Coturnix japonica: one gene and its partners. The protein of the gene in region 2 purifies or fractionates together with the protein of the main gene of each other region. This does not show direct contact. Links are inferred from orthologs where the notes say so. Each region holds a gene or a part of one and is shown on either strand. Other genes may lie near its edges. The genes, in order: RPP30, NEPRO and RPP25L.

Region 1 (6,425 bases), on a different chromosome or scaffold from region 2:
AATTCCGGCATTCCTCCAAAGAGACTCACATTTGCAGTTGGTGTCCCAGTGTGTCATGGTTTTGTAATTTTTGCTATCGGTATTCCACATCATAACATCATGTGGAACACAGAGAAGAATTACATGTCCCAGAGTACCTCACGGTCAGAGAGGAAAACACATCACAGAAGTGACACTGGCTCTCTCTCACACTGCCTGGCAGTAAGTGTGGGTGTGCTTCCAAGTTGTGGCACCTTCAATTTTAAAGTAGGCTTCTTGGTCTTCAGAAACCTCTCTCTCTTATTTCACTTGATTTATTAGCCCCAATTTCAATTAGATCATACTATATTGTGTTATGTTGCATTCCGATATCATAATTAGTAAAATAAGTTCTCCTCCTTAGATTGTTGCTGCTGCTCTGTTTATCTCCTTGAGCCCAACTCCCATCTCCCTACCCCTTTCCCTTTTTTCTTTCCATTCTTGGGGCTGGAGGGAGAGCCCACAGGCCTACTGCCCCCCATCACAGACATAGATTGATCTAGATAACTCCGTGACACAGTGCATTCTTCAAATTGCACATCAGCTTGCTGTCTGCCAAGGGCAATACAGACAGATCACCTCTACCAACTCTTCCAATTCACTCTTAATGATACGACTCAGGAGCTTCCTGAGATGGTCAGATGTGCCACTTTTTCTCCCCCCATTTTGCAATGAAAGCATTTTGACAAGAAGTTGAGCTGAGCATTTGAAAGCAAGTCAGTCAGACCACTTGCAGACGTTTAGGACCAACTGATCACATCAAGGCCCTTTACCCTTCTAGGATTTCTCCCAATCTTTTAGTCTGCCTGCTGCTGACCAGAGAACCTACATTGTTTAATTAGCCCCATGACATGGCTATATAGAATGGAAAACAAAACAAAGCATGCACTCAAAGCACTCCAAGACACTGATGGTTAGTGCCAGCTCTATGACAACTCACAGATAGTACTTACATGGAACAATTTCTCCGTCTTTGGAAATACAGCTATGATGTCATACAATCTTATATTTGCAGATGTAGATCTCTACAAAAGGAGGAAATAATTACTACCTTGACTTCTGGCAGGTGACAAGCATACACACAATGATTATAACCAAAATAATAATGAGAAAATTTCCTCACCATTTTCAAGCACCAAAACAAAGACGATAATCTAATTAAATAGTAGGTCTCTACTGTGAGCAATTCTCTGAGGTCATTTTGAGGCTTGTCCCATCCACTCACATACCTTTTGTCTCAAGCACACAGCTCCACAAACACACACTGGTCTCCCTCCTGGTATTCTAGTGTACACATGGAAGTCCAGAATTCAAATAAAAGAATAAAGGAACAGAACTGCTACCCCATACTAATAAGCGATCAGCACAATCACGTTCTGTTTCACAGACACTTGCGTGAGGGGTCATGATGCTTCAGATTCTAAAGATCTGGTCTGAGAAATCAGTACTGAGTATCCTATGAAATCCATTAAATCCAATACACAACTCCCAAAGTGTCATTCTTTCGTTGAGAAAATTAAATTAAAACAAACAAACAAACAAGCAGATACACTGAATGTACTTACCAAGAGATTACAGTGGGAAGGATCAGAAACAACAAGTGTCAGCCGGGTTAAGACTTTAAGTCTTTTAGATGTCCCCTATGATGGAAAAATAATATAAGATTTTAAAAGCTGACAAACTTTGTGGCAACCTTCACCCTGCCTACTATAAAAAGAAAGTTGTGCCTTGCACCAATTCTTGCCTATAATAATTTTCTGGAAGTCTGTAGTTATGCTTCCCTAATATAAAACATATATATTGTAACTGCCCTTCAGAAAGAAGGGCTCACTGTGTTTCTCTGAGGAGTGGATAAACTGAAAGGAAAAATTGCAGCTCAGTGTAACAACACATAGATGGAACGTAATAAACACACCTGCACAATAGGCAAAGATGGAAACAGCTCTGATGGAGACACCGGCTTGGCTATTTCCTTAAAAGAAAACAAAACAAAGTTATCCAAAATACAACAGGGATGTTTAGAATGTACACAGAAGTTGTGTTCCAACTCCAAAAATAAGCTTAACATACTAACAAAATATTTCCTAAGGACAATTCACAGACCATAGTAAAAATTAACTCCAGGGCAGTAATACAGGCTTATAAAATCAGAGTTCTGTTATAAATATAAATACAAATGCCTTCATTTAGGTGAGTGCGTAAAAACAAAGGATAGAGGAGTGGCACAGAGATTTACGAGAGCAAACACATCACCAACAAAGAAGCTGAACTGAAATTACCTGTTTCTTTTCTTTAAAATCGATGACGTGATTAAGAGCAACTGCAGAATATCCCACTAAAAAAGAAAACACATTGTGAGCCTGCTTTGATCAGCAAGTAATGGAAACAGACACAAGGAGAAAACTGTCACATGCTCATTATTTAAATATCTCAAAATCAATAACGATGTGCACATTTACCTTTCACAGTGAATTTTGCTCAATGTTAACTCAAAGATGTGTCTTAAGAGTACAATTTTTTCTTTTAGCACAAGCCAGCCTTTACAACACATCCTCACTGACTGACAGTAACAAGGACAAGGGACTGTGCACGGCCAGTGCTGGGGTACGCACAGAGATGCACGGTTACCTAATGGGTACAGCAGGGCAGGCTGAGGTGTGGCTGTGAGCCTGGGGTAGTGGGGTAAGCCACAGGCTGCCAGGTCCCGGCTCTGCATCGACACGAAGGCTGCGCCTTGCAGCAGCGGACTGGAAGATGCATTATGAGGGGAGATGTGACCACGATTGAAGGGTGATACAAACAGAAAGACTGCCGTGGTGGACAGGACTAGAGAAAGCCATAAAGCCTGTGCTGAAGATCAGTAACCCTGGAACAAGTTCTCTGCAGAGGTTGGAGAGTAACCGGAGATAATAACAGCGCTGTTCAGGCACAGCACAGACCCCGTGCCCTCGCTGGGCAGGGCAGGACCGGCGCATGGAGCTTCCGCCCCGTCCAGCCCCGCTTCTCCATCCTTCACGCCGCTGCTGCAGCCCTCAGCCAGCGCCGCCTTCCAGCACAGCCACCCCATCCTCAACAACACATCCACCCGCTCCCAGCCCCGACTCACGGTTCGCCGCAGCCTCCAGCACGCTCTGCACGGCCTTCCTATCCGCGCCCTGCGGGACGTTCAGATCGGCGAAGCCGGCCATGCTGCGCAGCACGGGGCGGAACGAAGGCTGTGAGCGCAGCCGGCACCGCCCCCGGCGGCCCGGAGCAACCTGGGGCTGGTAGTCCTGCTACGAGGAGCGGGATGGGCTCTGGACCAGCAGGCGGAGCTCTGGGTGATGGAGCGTGCGAGCTTTTATGCGCTCCTGAACGTGTCCGTGGGGGGCTGTGCTGCGAGCGGAGCAGTCGGGAGCTCGGGGTGTGTGCGCTGCCCAGCAGGGGGAGATGCGCTTCTGCTCCTCTTAGCGGCCGGATCGCCTCCCACCGAGCGCAGCTACTGTATGGCCCGAGGGGGGGTGGAACCGTTCCTAGTTAAGGCCATCGTTTTCCTGCGTTAACTAAAAAATGTGAAATAAAATCCTAGGTTGATTAGTCCCAGCTTCTCTAGAGATATTCCCTAAAATGCAAAAGAGATGAACAATTCCAGGAGACCACAAATCAAACATGCTTTGACTCTGTAGCACTGTTGAAAAACCCACCCATTTTATTGCTGCTAATCAGCACATATGTGAAATACAGGTGGTAATGACCACTTTTGTTGCTGTTTGGGACAGTTACAGCAGCTGCTAAAACAAGCAAGGCTGTGATTTCTTCACATCATCAAGGTGGTATTGGGAGGCCTCACAAGCCCTCTGCTTCCACTTCCTTGAGCCTGGAGGTTCAGTGGGTTATTTGGAATGCTAAACCCTTAACCAGGCAGAATTGCTCCAGCAATGCCCACAGCTCCCAGGCACGTCCCTGCCCACAGCACTGCTCCTTGGCACACTGAGGCCGAAGAGTTTATAAGCTCCCTTTAAACACAGAAAGGCTGCAACGAGATCTCCCTGGTGCCTTCCCCAGATTGAACAAACCTATCTCCAGGGAAGTACTCCAGCTCTCTGAGCACCTTCGTGGCCATCCTTGTGACCCATCACAACAGCTCCATATCACTCCTGTGCTGGGAGCCCCAGGCTTGGACACTGTGCTCCAGGTGGGGGCTCACAAGGACAGTACAGAGTGAAACAGTCACCTCCCTCTTCATGCTGCCACCCCTCTGTTGATGCAGCCCAGAATACAGTTGCTCTATGGGCTGCAAGTGCACACTGCTGGCTCATATCCAACTTTTTGTCCATCAAGTCTCCAAGTCTTCCTCAGCAGGGCTGCTCTCAGTGAGTTTTTCTCCCAGTCTGAATGTCTGGGGTTGCCCCAGCTCAAATACAACACCTTGAATTTGGCTGTGCTGAACCTCACTAGGTTTTTGTGGGTCCATTTTTCAAGCCTATCCAGGTCTCCCTGGAAGATGTTCCTTCCTCCTACGTTTCCTATGTTTCAGCAAATTCTGCTTTGGCCTATCTGTGCCCTTAACATGTTTCCTATTGGAATAGCCAGTGCTGCTTCTCTGCCAAATATCTGAACACACAGCCCAAATCAAATGGTCTTCTTAAGGCTTTTCTGTGAAGTGTGTGGACATGGGAGAACTCAAAGCATTATTTCAAGTGTTTTTTTTGTTTTCTTTGTTTGTTTGGTTTTTTTGACAGTGTATGATGGAACTTGATTTAATTTGTCTGAATAAATGTGAGAAGAAATCCATAAATATGTATCAATTATTTCTGAACATCTCTTTTGGACTAATGTTCAGAGACATTAAACAAGATTAAGCAGCTTTTTTTTTTTTTTAGGCAACAGACAAGCAAAACAAACCTTTTCTCGAGGCACTTAAAATGGAGAGTACTTAAACAGATCATCCTTCAGAACCCTATTTCTGTGATGGCCCTCCCAGCATCACATATCATCAATTACTTACGCAGACCAGTGTGCAACCTTATTTCCCCCATCAACCACTTGGATGTTGACATTTTTGTTTAGGCCAGACCCAGTGATCTACTTAAAACATAGCTGTGGTTCTCACTGTCAGTCACAGACTTTGAGTGTGCTTTGTTTCTCCCGTGTCCTGAAGTCCTCCTAGTGCGGCCAATTTTTCTACCCTCGAGGAACATTTTTCATGCCACATTTAAATTTTAGGGAAGACCTTTTCAGGTCTTATGAAGTGATATTCCTCTAATGTACCTCCAGTGGGCAACTCAGGGTAGCAGCTGTCAGATATATATGTGTATATGTCTCTTTGGCTTCAGTTCTGCCTTTAGCATTTTAGGGAGCTAAAGATATTTGGCACCACCTATCTCAGCAACTCAGTAGCTTGAATCTCAATGGTCACTTTAATCATAACCTTCACAGTTTCCTTCATAAAGCTGTAGGCTGAAACAGGCTGAGAACTGTTTTTCAGAGTGATCAAGAATTTCTAGAATAAATTTCATTGTAATTGTTTTTTTCTCTTTTCAGCTGACAGCTTGCTGCTCATATTTGCTGGTTCAAAAAAAGGGAAGACATCACTTCCCATTTATTTAGCTTGCACAGGTGCGACTATTTATTTTGATGATGATAAGAAACGCCAAAGATGTGAATGGTAACCTCTCTATTTCACTGCCACAGAGTGGGGATGATTTATTTTCACAAAGGCAAGAAAAGACAGAAAAGAAACTGCAGCTGCAACATCTTTGCTAGAAGTTGGACAAGAGTGTTATTTGCTAAACTACATGCTGGGAATAAAAATCAAGGTTGCAATAATATTTGTCCATGGAATTTTACCCAGCCTCTGATAAAATATTCTAAATATCTTGACAACGTATTTCCCCAAGGTAGAAGAAATGTGTACCTATACTTTATTTATTATTCCCAACAGCAGGTCTTCACCAGACTTATATTGGTTTCCAGGAAAAGAAGATGAAAAGGAAAGAAAAAAAATACACAACAGGCAAATGAAAATGACAGTTTATCAAGACAGACGGCTCAGGAGAGGAAGGACAACAAGGGAGATGATAAAAAAGGAGGGAAAATTGCAAGAAAAAAACCACCCTTTATTACATTTCACATGGGTATGAAATGCATCCAGAATTAAATTGTTTAAGAAGGAAAATGTAGCAGCACCTCTAAGATTTTATGTTAAGATGAGCACAGACCTTGTTTTTCAGATACATCTGTGTGGGGAGTTACCGAGCAGTGCTGTCAGTGCTTCTCCTCTGCTGGTACAGTTCTGCATGCTGCAGTTCTGGACCCACTTAAGGCAGTGGGCTGTGAGATGGTAAGACCTGCTGCTCCGATGGGCTCTGTAAGCATCACACCCTCAGCAGGAGGGTGAAGCATCCAGAAAGTAGTGTGAGTTCTTT
Region 2 (6,401 bases):
CAGAGCCCCTGTGCTCAGCAGAATACCTGCATCCTTGTGCCTCCACATGGTGCAGCCGATTGCTCTTCAACAACTTGCTGCGCAGAAAGTAAGCTTCTGATTTGAGTTTGTTGCCTTTGCACCACAGAATGGCTTTTCTGAGCGCCTCCGACAGCTCACCAAATGATGCAGCTGTTTGAAACATCTGTACGAGAGGCCCAGTGCGCTGCAGTTTTGCCACAGAAGAGGAAAGTGACACTGATGTTTCATTAAAAGGTTTTGATGTCAGGCATCTACCCTGAAACAAAGAAGCAGAAAAACAGTTGGCTTTCTAAAAAGGTGAGGTGCCTGCTGCTCTGCCAGGGAGGAGCAAAGCACTGTGTTTTGCATTTCTTAAGGAGAGACACACAGTGAGCATTTATATTCCTGTCTACTGACTTCTTCTGACTTCCTCTCTGGTCACTTCGCTTGACATACCAACAAATGCTTGCATAACAGAATGACCTGTTAGACAGGTAACATAAGGCAAGGAAAGAGGACATTTTCCATCATATAGGTAACACATTTCAAGTGTTAGGCTCTTCACAGCAACATAAAAGCAATCTTGTGTAAAACTGTGGTATACAAACCCCTTGTATTGGAGGTCTGGATGGTCTAAGCAAACTCTTCACATCAAACCATAGGTGGTTCTCTACAGAAAGAGAAGAGTTCCCATTAAGTAAAGAGTTTTAAGTCCTCACACAAACACACTAATGCTTTGCCCTGCTGAGCTCTCAGCTCTCCCGGTGTCTCAGCAGGCTTATGCCTGTACTCAGCATTTCAGGAGGGGAGTTTGTACCAGAACCACACTCTGTGGGAAGCAGAAGCATTTGCTCTGTTGGACAAAGTTGGACAAAGCGGTAGCCAGTCTCTGGTCTCAGATACCAGTATTGCTGTGGCAAAAAGGCTTTACCTCTGCTGCCTATGGTCCCCAGAACGGGTTCTCCAATGTCATCCGCAGGAATGCTGTGGTTCTTCACAGCTCTCGCATAGGTCACAAAACCTCTCTTTTTCCCAGCCTTTGATACGGCTTCTGATGTGGTTGGGAAGAGCTTCTTCAGCCAGCCGGTAGGTCTTCTTGCTGTAAGCATTTTAGCTTTTTGTTTCTTCACCTCAGCAGAAAGGTTAACTCCAAGAAAGCTACCGATATCAGCAGGGAAGGTAAATCCCTTGATGTAGGGCATCTGCTGGGTCTCAGACACCAGATGAAGCGATGTTGACAGTACGCCATACAGGGAGATGAGGTTCTGCAGTAAACACCTGTACTGAATCCTGAAGGGAGAAGACAAAGGTGTAGATTCTCTCCTAGCAAGAACTTGTGCTTATACTCACTGAACAACTGCCTTGAACTCAAAGGGAAGAGCTTTGTTCTCCCCCCAGTAGAGGCCCCTCTCTTTACATTCTCCACTCACACAACTCTTCAGGTGCTAGAACAGAGTCCAAAAGGATGGAGGGATCTGTATGATCTTTTTCCCCTCTCCTCCTAGCTGAATAAAGCTCACTCAACAAGAACGCTCTAATCACAAGCTTTCTCCCTGACAGGCATGTCAAACAGACAGCAAACAATTGTCAAATATACAAACCATAGCCGGCTCAACATGCCCAAAGCCACGGTGTTCATAAGTATGAATTCTTCTGAACAGACAAGCTGCAGATTACACCAGTTAAGGTTAAAGAATAAACAGTATGTAATGAAACTTGCTGAGCCCATCAACTACGGGCAATTCACAAGGCGATATCCTGAACAATTCGGGAGGTGCGTATCCAAACTTTGGGTTGCTCAAGGCTGGAACAGCAGCCAGCCAGCAGCCTGAGGTTCCTACGTAATAACTTGAAAATAAAATGTCTGACTAGCAAAGAATCTTCAAGGTGCACAAATGAATTGCAATGTGGACTCCACCAGCAGCACAGACATTCCTTTGGCCTCGTGAAGTGCTGCCGGTGAACAGTAAGAATATTTACATAGCAAAAAAAAGGATACAGAAATGCTTTACAGCAACAGTCTAGCAGACGCAGTATGAGCTTACAGCCTCCCAGCACCTTCACGGCCACTGTTTCCAGCATAGGCTGGCTGGGAACTAAGCACTCTGCTTGGTCCTGGGCTTTAGTTTTCCTGTGGCAAGACAAGGGCAAGGAGATGTCTGTGGTCTAGCATCTCCTCCTTCGGTTCCGTAGGCTGACCAATGGGTAGTAGTGCATACAGGGTCATGGCACTGACCTGGGAATCAGTTCTGCCAGGGTTTCAATGCAGCCCACCAAGTTCATTTTCCACAGGCGCTTCAAGCACTGTTCCACCTAGGGGAAAAAAGAAGGGAAAAGAAAAGGAAGAAAAAAAAAAAGGGAAGTCCTTCAGCTGAGAGACACCAATGCCCTTGTCTAAGAGCAGTCACTACTTTAAATGACACCTTCCCCTTATCAGTTTAATAGCAGACTTCAGGTTTGTGTGATACAGTGCTCTGGTCTTGTTGCCATATCTGCACTGTGACAGAGACCCCTTTATCACCTTACTGTGAATAGGAAATTAAGAGCAGGAGCAGATCACTTTTCATTGGCACTGTATGGTTTCTCCTGCAGCATATAAATGGATTTCAAGAAGCATTTAGACAATGCTCTGAGGTATGAGGTCTGATTTTTGGGTGGTCCTGTATAGAGCCAGGAGTTGGACTCAATGATCCTTACGGGTCCCTTCCAACTCATGATATTCTATGACTGTGGTAATGCAACATGATGGGGATAAAGTACAGAAGTCTCTGAAATCTAAACAGTGGATGTATGGAATGTGTTTGGGATTTAACCAGTCCTTCACCAACGATAACGAACAAATGAATGGAGAAGGTAAGAAGGACTGCTGTTTTATTTCAGCACAGTTGTTTGAAGACTATGACAACCCCTTTACTACAGAGCTGCTCAAGAGTTCAGCTTCTGCCTCAGGAGAGGCAACATCCGACAGAGCAGCCTGCAGTTCTTCCACACCCAAACCTCCCCTCTCCCAACTGAATCAAACAGCGACGAGGCACCAAAAGCTGAAATCAAGCTGCACTTCTCACGCTGTCCCAAGGCCTTCAAACCACCCCAGCTGCCCGCCGCTCACCTGCTGCATGGCCAGGTACGGCCGGTGCCGCAGCAGCCTGCTGTGGAACACGTAGAGCAGGGCCCGCAGGACGCGTCCCTCGGCGGTCAGGCTCGGCCAGCACAGCCGCTTCATGGTGCCGACACAACAGCGCCGCAGGGCCGGCAGGCAGCGCACTGCGAACGGATGGCACTCAGCGACCCACGCGAGCCCATCGCCCCCGACTCCGCTTCCCCATCCCTGCGGACCCCATGGCTCCGGTGCCCCCTCCCGGTTCCTCCCCGCCCCATCCCGGCCGTGGGGCCCGGCAGCCCAGCCGGGGACCTGCGGGGTGCTGCGCGTCCACTGCCACCGCGCTGCTGCTGGAGGGCCACGGCACGTCCACACGGTTCCACGCAGCTTCGGGCGCCGCCATCTTGTGCTGTGCGGGGCGGGACGTGCAGGCGGGGGTGCGGCCTGCACTCAGTCACACACGGCGTTCACAGAGCGCATCGAGCAGTGCTGTTCTGGATGCTGGGATCCGCGGATGAGGGAGGCGATGCACCAAGCTAAGGGCTTGCGGCAAAGTTCCAACCCCCTGCACTGTGCAGGGTCACCAACCAGCAGACCAGGCTGCCCAGAGCCACATCCAGCCTGGCCTTGAATGCCTCCAGGGATGAGGCATCCACAGCCTCCTTGGGCAACCTGTTCCAGTGCGTCACCACCCTCTGTGTGAAAAACTTCCTCCTAATATCTAACCTAAAACTCCCCTGTCTCAGTTTAAAACCCCCTTGTCCTATCTCTGTTTCCTCATACTTTAGCCAAAGATGAATGTTCTCTCACCTGCACCTACTAGTATTGCCATTAGTGTATTTGCTAGAGACAACCACATTAAGCTGAGAAGAACTTTTGCCCCACCTCGTTATTTTAGAATCCAGTGTGTTACATGCTTCCTGTTTTTCCCTCAAAGAGGTTTGTGCCAATGCAAATTAAAGTGGTGTCCCTTTAAAAAGCTAGAGCATAATTGGCATTAGCATTCACACCTGTGTGGAGCAGCGTGAGGGTTTGTTCCCTCCTTGGGTCATAACTGATAAAAGGCTGCCACCTGAGCATTCTCTTGTTCTGGGAACGAGGCTGTTAAGCTTCCTAGTGTAGCAGAGAGTTGTGAAAATGAACACGGAGTCTCCATGCTGTGAGCAGAATGCTGCAAAGATTTCTCTAGCTGAGATTCTGAGGTGCTTTGAGCACCCTATAAGCGAAGAACAAGCCTGGGCTATTTGCTTTTGGTGTTGCTTCAGGATGAAGGAATTAGCCCAAGGGCGGTACCCATCACTCCATTCTGTATTCATAAAAGGTCCGGGGAGCATCTTTATTCATGCTGATGGCACTGTTTCCTTCCGGGTGTATCATAAGTCTGGTAAGAGTGAAAGTAGCTGTGGGTGCCACGGGTTGCTTCTGTGATTGGTTGAAATTTAGGGACAAAGTGGAGAAAAGCTTTTAATTTTCCCCTTCTTCTCTGTACTTTCAGGTTGTTCTCACTGTATAAGCTGTTCTTCTGTCTGTGCTTTATTCTAAAGGTCTTTATATAAGAGGTAATGCAGATATGCCTGCCAATCTTTCTGTTGATGCTTTAGTGTGTCATTTACTTCTAGGGAATAGCTGGGATTCATTTACTGCAGCTTCTGTTATTTGAAACAAATAATTTGAGGTTTCATTTTGTGTCCTGCTCTGTTCATCTTCTAATCTGTTATTCCACCATTGTATTAACTCTCAAGCCAAATCTGTGACTGTTAGTTCTCCATTATTATTATTTATTGTTCTGTGTAGCTAGCAAACAGCAACAAGCTTTGTCTTATGCACTTGCACTGCTGTGGAGTTCATTGCTAGGCTGAGTGCAGGGACAAGAGTGGGTAGTAAAGAATGAAGACAAAGATCCATTGCCTTCCTTGTAGTTACATATGTACTAACAAAGAAAAGGAACTAACCAGTAGTACTTAAATTGGGGCTAATGGTCACAGTAAACAAAGGGTATCTTGCAGTGCAGTTATCATCCTGCCCTACCTCTTCTTGTTTCCCTTTCAGATGCTGGCAGTATTCAGCAGTCAGAGGAGAAGGTAAGCCTGTATCTTTGCTTTTGTATATGCACAGATATAATCCTGCTGTGTAGAAATCTGGTGTGGGAGGTGTAGGCGTCTAGCTGCCTTAAACTGACAAGGCATTTGTATTTACTGGGTACTGTGGGTGTGACTGTCCCCTGCAATCTGAAAAATGAAATAAAATGTTAGGAGTGAGCTCCAGTAAGACTATGGGACTGGTAAGCAAGCAGGGTGCACCAGTGCTGCTACTGTGGAATAATGTGTAGGCTTTTTGTCCTGATTACATCATTTAGAGGTGCTAGATAAGGTAGTTTAAAAGCTTAACATAGCTCACTGGGGAGTGTCCTAGGATACTTGAAGAGCAGTCATTTACTTTTTGAGCCCTTCTCATCCTGAGAGATGTGCTCAGCCCTGTGGGGCAGCAGCAATAGGAAAATGAGGGCTGTGGAGTTGCATTTCTTCCTTGGCTTCTGTCTGCAGCTGCTGGAGTACTTGGGAATGGTGATCTATGAAGCCCTGGACTGGGGAATTGACAGCCAAGTGGAGCGAGAATTGAGTGATCCACTGGATAAACTACTCCGCCTCATGTTGAAACTGGATGATGAGGGAATGAAGCCAACAGTCACCCTGCAGGATGTTATCAAGGTTTTCTTCTTATTGCATAGTAAACACAGCTGCTTTAGAGGAGCTGATGGCTAATCATGCTGTTAATCAGGATGACAGGCTGTTTCTGGGGAGAAGCTGGGTAGTTTGTTGGATGGTATAGGAATGTGGCTTTTCTGTCAGAGCTCAGAAGGCAAAAAACATCTAAGGTGCACTCAGGTGTCTATGGAAAAGAAGGAAATCTGAATGTGGTTCTCACAGCTGTGCTTAGGGTCCTTCAGCATGTAGTCTCCAACAGTAGTGTTCAGTACCTAGAAGACTATGCATATTGAAACAAGTCACTTGTCTGTAATATTTGGTTTCTGCAAGGGAATTTGAACATCACAGCTCAACCTAGTAGCCTGTTCTCAGCCATAAATTAAGAAAACAAACAGCTGTCTGTGCCCTGGTCTAATTGGGGTGGGAGGCCAAGGGGGAAAACGACACAAGTGACTCCACCTGCTGTGTTTTGTTGTGGTTTGGAAGCTTTCCCTTCCAGGTACTTATTTCAAAACACAACCTGTAGAGATCAGGATATATAAATCGCACAACTACTGAAGTTACTGTAAATATAACATCTGGCATCTTCTTTGCTC
Region 3 (6,286 bases), on a different chromosome or scaffold from region 2:
GCACGGCACGGCGCGGCACGGCACGGCACGGCACGGCACGGCACGGCACGGCACGGCACGGCACGGCACGGCACGGCACAGCACAGCACGGCACAGCACAGCACAGCACGGCGCAGCACGGCACAGCACGGCGCGGCGCGGCACGGCACGGCACAGCACGGCACAGCACGCGGCGGGCAGCGCCGGCTCCTTCGCACATCGCAGCCCCGACGGACCCGCGGGAAGGAGACGCCGACCTCCCTCCCCATCCCGCAACCGCAACAAGTCCCGTCCCGGCCCCGCACTGACCCGCTGCCGCCGCGCCCCGGGATCCGCCGCTCGGAGCCGCGTCCGCTGCTCGCTGTCCCGGCGCGGAGCGGCGCCGTGTCCCGCAGCCCGGCTCGCTCCTCCCCCCGCTCCGAGGGGCGGCCCGGGCCCCGCACACACCCCGCCCACAACCGCCGGCTGCGGCCCCGCCCCGCCGCGCCGCGCACAGGCCGCGTGGTGCGTGCGCTGCACCGGGCGGGGATGGAGCAGCGGCTGCGATGTCTGAGCGACACGGCACAAAACACAACAACCGTCCCGGCACCTACACGTGCTTCCAAGGCACCTCTGCGCCACCGGCCGCAGACGTGGGGCTGCGCTGTCCGCCCACGAGTGACCAGCGCGGCCCCGTGCAGTGCAAAGCGTCAGGGACGGTCCGAGCGGCTGCACCGAGGAACGAGCCCGGCACAGCTCCGTCCTGCACCGGGCAGCTCGGCACGGCAGCGGGTACGATGCAAATCCGCCGGGCAGCTGGGGACCCCTCGTGGCTGCCAGCAGCACACACAGCTGCGGGCTCTGCTGGCTGCTCCTGGTGGGCTTCGCTTGGGGAGATGCTCCATAGCCCATAGAGTCCACGCTGGCACAGCAGCGCTGTGTATGGCCATGGCCCTGCGGCTCCTTCCTGCCCAGCATCACCTCCCACAGCTGATCCAGGAGCAGAGCTGTGGCACACGACGTGATGCTCCATCCCCTGCTCCATCCAGTGGCATTCACACCAAGTATTCTCAAATCTGCTCTTCCAGACAGAAAAAATAAACCCTTGGCTTTCCCATTGCTAGAAGAGGTGAATGGCAAAGGAAAACCTTCATCAGGGCCCACCTACAGGAGAAAAACGCCTGCAGCTGCAGCCCGTCAGTAATGCTGAGGGTGACCCCAGTGCAACGTGGAACACATCACACATCTTTTGTCACTTACAAACTTTATTTTAAACCCATTCCTATGCATTACAAAGGAGTAGAAAGGGGAAACAAGCATCCTTTGGAGCTCACCATTACCACCCCTGTGCATTTGCCCCTGCCTACGTGGTTTCAGGATGGTGATGACGTTAGTTGACTCCTGCCAGAGGTGTAACCATCAGCACCAGAGGGGAAGTGAGAGGACAGAAAGGGATGATTGGCACACAGTGAGCTGCACCCCTGCAGTCCCACATCTAAACCATCAGAACACTGGAAGGCTTGAGCAGAAAATGGCTTCTCAGGCACAGGTAAAGTGTCCAACCCAGCCCTGAGCTGTGCCATCCACACAGAGGAGCTGCAATGATGGGCTGGCAGCCCAACCTGGGACACATCTCCCCTCTAGGAGCTGCCTCATCTCCTGCCCATGCAAAGCACTGCCATACCTGGAATGCCTCTTTGGGCTCACTAACTGGATGCCAGCAATCCTTGCCCAAAAAGGTAAATCCCATATTTCCATCTCATCCCTGAGCCACAGGCTATGGAGTGAAGCCTGGCACCATCTGACAAGGAAACTTGCCAAAACACAATTTAGACAGCTACAATTTTGTCAATTTTGGAACAGTGAGTTCTCCTGTCTACCCCCCTAACAGATCTGGAAGCCTGTGTTCAGCAGCAGCTTTCCAGCCAGAGCAGCTGGCTGGTTTTTGTAACATCCCCAAGCTACACCCACAAGTGTCTCTGTCTCAGGACTTCACTCAGGACTCCCCGAGCCCTCCACTGGCACGAGGGTGCTTTCCCATGCTGCCAGTTCCCCTTCCTCCACCCTGCTTCCTCTTCATTTGGGCCTGGGACTCTGCTTTAAGTGTCTCAATCCAGAAGGCGTCAAAAGAGCCCGGAGCCTGATATCCAGGCTCCTGGGGATCAAGGGCGTCTTTGCTCAGCAGGACACATATGGCAGGAATGTTTCTCTTCACTGTCAAGGAATCCAGACCTGCCTCAGGCACGATGGGTTCCCAGATCTCCTCGATCTGTTTGAAAAGCACTTTGGTGATCTGGTGGAGTTCTTTGAGCCTTCTTTTCATGATCTCCACACACGTGATGGTTTTGCTGACAGCCTTGCCTGAGCCAGTGAAAAGGATCTGCCTCACTGAGTCCAGTTCCATCTTGCCAATGGCGTAGCCCATCAGATTTCTTATTTTACTTCCATCTTTCACTTTCATTTCAATGATATCAGGAGGCAGGTCAGTGAAAGGAAGAGGACAAGGCTTCTCCACGATTTTGGTCTTCTTATAGTTTTCCATTCTGCTGCACTGAAAAGGAAAAGCAACCCATGAATACCTGCAATTAGTGATAATACAAACCAGCCACTGTGGGCTTTCCCACTCAGCGAGAAGCGCAGCTGCAACTGTGGCTTCCAGCAACCTGTGCCAGCACAGCAGGGCTCAAAACTGAGGCTGCCATTGGCATCATTTCAGCCTCTGGCCACCAGAAAAGTCTCAGCAGCTCCACACACCTGTACCTGAGAAACTTCTAAAGGCTGCACAAAGGGCTTCTCGCTCCAATTACGTGCAGTCTTTGCTCCAAAGGGCACTGTCTGATTCTGTCAGCCGGACAGGGCAGATACAAACTATCCACCAGAACACCCCGATGTGCAGCAGTGCAAAGCACAGCAGTCATTTCCAGCAGCGGCAGCTCAGACACCGGCGGGCAACATGAATGCTGCCACAGGGGTCGAAACTGGAAGGAGCAGCGCTGGTTCAGCTGGCGGAATCCTTAGAAAAAGCAAAGAATAAATGAAAGAACTCAGGTAAACGGGCTCACGCTCAACCCCCACCCCCAGGCCCACAGAGTCACACGGCTCCCCCCACAGGCACGGTGAAGGCCTCGGGCGGAGAGCTCCGCCAAGGGGAGGCGGCCCAGCCCCACCATCCGGGTCCGGGGTGACGGGAACCGCTGTCCGGGCGGCTCTGCGGGTGCGGGAGGCGGACGGGCTGCGGGGCGGGATGGGGGACACACGGAAAGCACGCTCACCTGCCGGCACGGCGACACTCGACGCAAAATGGCGGCCGACGCCAGGCGTGCGCATGCGCGGGGAGGGAGGCGGAGTGGCGGAGTGATGGCGCCGGGCCTGGGCGGGCTGTGAGGGCGGGGTGGGCCCGCATCTCCCAGCGCACAGCTGGGCTCTGGGCTTCACTAAAGACATGTTCACAACTCAGTAATTCTGTTCTGTACCTGGATAAATTGCACAGCCCAGGCACTACAGGCAGGGGGCAGCAAATAACTCTTTCTGAATAAGAAAGGACCGGCTGCGGCTCTGACTCGCTGCTGCCATTCTGATCAGCAAAGGCACGACGTAGGGCAGGGTCACTTGCTTCCCCCAGTCTCCAAGTTCCCATTCCCACAGGGCACCAGGAACCGCCCCAAGAAGGGACACACAGATCACTGCTTCTACTTCATGCCAGGAGTAACGTTTCCTTATGACACATCAGCCATGGGCTGTTGGCAGCACGCGGATCTGCCCTCCTGAGCTTAACCAGGCATTCTGTGCCACTGATGCATTCACGGGAGGAAAAGACAAGCCAGACCAGTGCATTAGGGCTTTACTGTGATCCACGATAAGAGCAACAAGGGACTTTAAAAGTACGTTACTAGCTTGAAAACATTAAAATAAAAGATAACATATTAATAACAGTGGCATATTAAGAGAAAACTATATGCAAACAGTGGCATATTGATGGTGCTGCTTTGATTAAGGGCCACAAAGCCAGGGTGCCCCCAGGAGTCTGTGACACCATTTGCAGCATACTCACACTAAGTATAAAGATACTGAGGCAAGAGGATGCAAGCAGCTGCTGTGGTCTCTTCTGAATAATGCAAGGCCAACAGGATCCTAGGACTTTGGTCTTCGCCCTCCCTGCTCTGCCATCACTCTGCTGCAGGTTTCACTTCCCTGGCTGCTTCCAGCTGTGTTAGTATTTCATTCCACTGGACAAACTGCTTGGAGAGAAGCAGAGTCTGGTTGTTCCTCTTAAGGAAAGAGAAGCAAAAACTTCTAGGAGGAAATAAAGGTTAGAGAATAGCTGGAGCACCCATCAGCCTGACAGTGCTGATCCAAAACCAATTCCTTGGAGGAGAAAAGGGTGAATAAAACTGTGTCTACACAGCCTACACAGACTTATACCAACTACACACCACTTCTAAGCACTGCATAGTGCTGCAAATTAAAGGTCTTGCTTCAGAAAAGAACATAACTCCCCCACCCACTATAGTTCAGGATGTGTTTCAGCACTGGTATGAGATGAACTGCAAGGCTCTGGCAGGTCACAGGCACATTCAACTGACATGCCAGCTCCTTTGTGCTAAGCCACACTGTAAGCAGATCCATCACAAAAGCTCTGACTCACAGACGACACCCTGCCCTTCCTGTCTCGGATGGATAGTTCTGTCCCTCGGCACTGTAACAGGACTTCACTCCTGAGGTAAGTATAATAACAGGAACACAAACATCACTACACCAGAAAAGGTACCGGCCATTAAACCTAAGGCTGGGGATTGCCTGCTTCCAGCTACCTCTGACAGGGTGAGGTGGCCCAAGAGACAGGTGGGCAGTTCAATCCAAGGCACCAGCTAAAAGGATACTGTCTTGTTGTAGTTTTCCAAGAGCATCTTGACTTCATCAGTAAACTGCTCACACTGCTCCTGCAAAAAACAGTGCCTTGGTGAATAAGCAATAAATAACTTAAAGGACATCTGTAATTCCAGGCAAGTCAGGAATTGTCCAAGGCCAGTACCAAGATTAAAACTCAGGCCCTGGCCATGACCACTCACTGTGCCTGAACGAGTTTCAATAGTTGAAGGAAAGGTTATGAAGAAACACTCATGCTCATACGGTGCAAGAGCATCCATGCTAGACCGATGTGTGGTTTTTCTCAGCATCCATGCTTTGCTTGACTCAGAATGAAAACTCACAGCAAAACACAAAAAGGGGGCATGAAGTGCAACCCAGGCTACACACCCCATTCCCTCAGATGGGGAAGGAAAGAGACAAGGTGGCAGCACTGATAGCCATATAGATAGACGTGCAACATTTCAGTGACCTGGTGAAAAGCAGAACAGCAGCTGGTTAAACACACTTCTGCTTATTGAGACCTCTGTTTTAAGCAGGCTTATGGTAGGTAAAAAGCTTTTCCAACTCATAATCAATTGTTAGTAACCCTTCTTAAACTTTTTCCTTTTTTTTCCTTTTTTTTTTTTCTTGCTGCAGTTTTAAAGATGTGGTATAAATATGTCATCAGTACATCCACTATCAAATGGTTCCTTTTTCTGGCTAGTCAAGACTGTCACAAACATTCACATTACCTGTTGTTGTATCTGGATTTGAGAGAGTCGCTGTATTTTGGCTGCATGTTCAGGAGCCGCTGAAAGCACAGAAACCCATTTTTTTTGTTTTACATCACATAGGTTTAATTATAACAAAAAACAAACAAACAAACAAAAACCCAACAAAATAGAACATTACTTTTCAAGGGCAAGTCACAGCAAAGTTCTGCTCAGTGAATTGCTGATTGTGCTCCACACCACAAACGTGTTTTTAACACAACTGGAAAAAAAAAAACCTACTAGCAGATAAAGCCACATAGCTACACTGCACATCAAATAACAAGTTTACTTGCTAACTACTCAAATTAGGGCGAGTTAACAGATGTTAACAATTAGATGAACACTGCAGTTAACATTAAGAGAAGCATCTCTGCCTACACAAGGAACACTGATGTTCTGGATATAAGACAGCTCATAAGCAGAACCCTGAGAGTTACCATGGCCTGGGCATTGTACACAGTGCTTAGTCACAGTTTCACACCTTTTGCCAAGCCACTGCCTCTAACTTCTTTATTAAACTATACAGTCACCTCCCTGACCCGTTGGTGCAGGGGCCACATTCCCACCCCAGGTGTGTTTGGTAATAGCTAAGATGTTCAGCAGTGTTCTATTAGACAGCAGAGACTAGACATGGAACGTAAGAGCAATGTAAGGGAGGAGCAGATATACCACCGTGTACCTATTTTACTCACAATAAGTTGTGTGCT

The links.
Region 1: the proteins of NEPRO (region 2) and RPP30 purify together in Homo sapiens (affinity purification with mass spectrometry; 3 studies listed by BioGRID and IntAct, counting the BioPlex papers as one, with this or other methods). This does not show direct contact. The link is inferred for Coturnix japonica from reciprocal best matches to the Homo sapiens genes RMP64 and RPP30.
Region 3: the proteins of NEPRO (region 2) and RPP25L purify together in Homo sapiens (affinity purification with mass spectrometry; 3 studies listed by BioGRID and IntAct, with this or other methods). This does not show direct contact. The link is inferred for Coturnix japonica from reciprocal best matches to the Homo sapiens genes RMP64 and RPP25L.

Annotation. Positions count from the first base shown.
Region 1 is NC_029521.1:17,045,978-17,052,402, reverse strand, and holds the start of RPP30 (ribonuclease P protein subunit p30), read right to left. Parts: upstream 3,493-6,425; 5' UTR 3,207-3,492; coding exon 3,125-3,206; intron 2,354-3,124; coding exon 2,298-2,353; intron 1,991-2,297; coding exon 1,934-1,990; intron 1,659-1,933; coding exon 1,584-1,658; intron 1,044-1,583; coding exon 972-1,043; intron 1-971. UniProt on the Homo sapiens protein: Component of ribonuclease P, a ribonucleoprotein complex that generates mature tRNA molecules by cleaving their 5'-ends. Also a component of the MRP ribonuclease complex, which cleaves pre-rRNA sequences.
Region 2 is NC_029516.1:74,701,488-74,707,888, reverse strand, and holds the start of NEPRO (nucleolus and neural progenitor protein), read right to left. Parts: upstream 3,567-6,401; 5' UTR 3,504-3,566; coding exon 3,413-3,503; intron 3,265-3,412; coding exon 3,110-3,264; intron 2,314-3,109; coding exon 2,237-2,313; intron 2,132-2,236; coding exon 1,981-2,131; intron 1,667-1,980; coding exon 1,602-1,666; intron 1,291-1,601; coding exon 932-1,290; intron 671-931; coding exon 609-670; intron 278-608; coding exon 27-277; intron 1-26. Other genes in the region: protein spire homolog 1-like, read left to right, coding at 4,238-4,484, 5,150-5,181, 5,644-5,808. UniProt on the Homo sapiens protein: May play a role in cortex development as part of the Notch signaling pathway. Downstream of Notch may repress the expression of proneural genes and inhibit neuronal differentiation thereby maintaining neural progenitors.
Region 3 is NC_029547.1:7,293,577-7,299,862, forward strand, and holds RPP25L (ribonuclease P protein subunit p25-like protein), read right to left. Parts: upstream 3,666-6,286; 5' UTR 3,231-3,665; intron 2,972-3,230; exon of another isoform or gene 2,713-2,971; intron 2,510-2,712; 5' UTR 2,501-2,509; coding exon 1,955-2,500; 3' UTR 1,206-1,954; downstream 1-1,205. Other genes in the region: DCTN3 (dynactin subunit 3), read right to left, coding at 4,125-4,214, 4,839-4,898, 5,559-5,617. UniProt on the Homo sapiens protein: May be a component of ribonuclease P or MRP.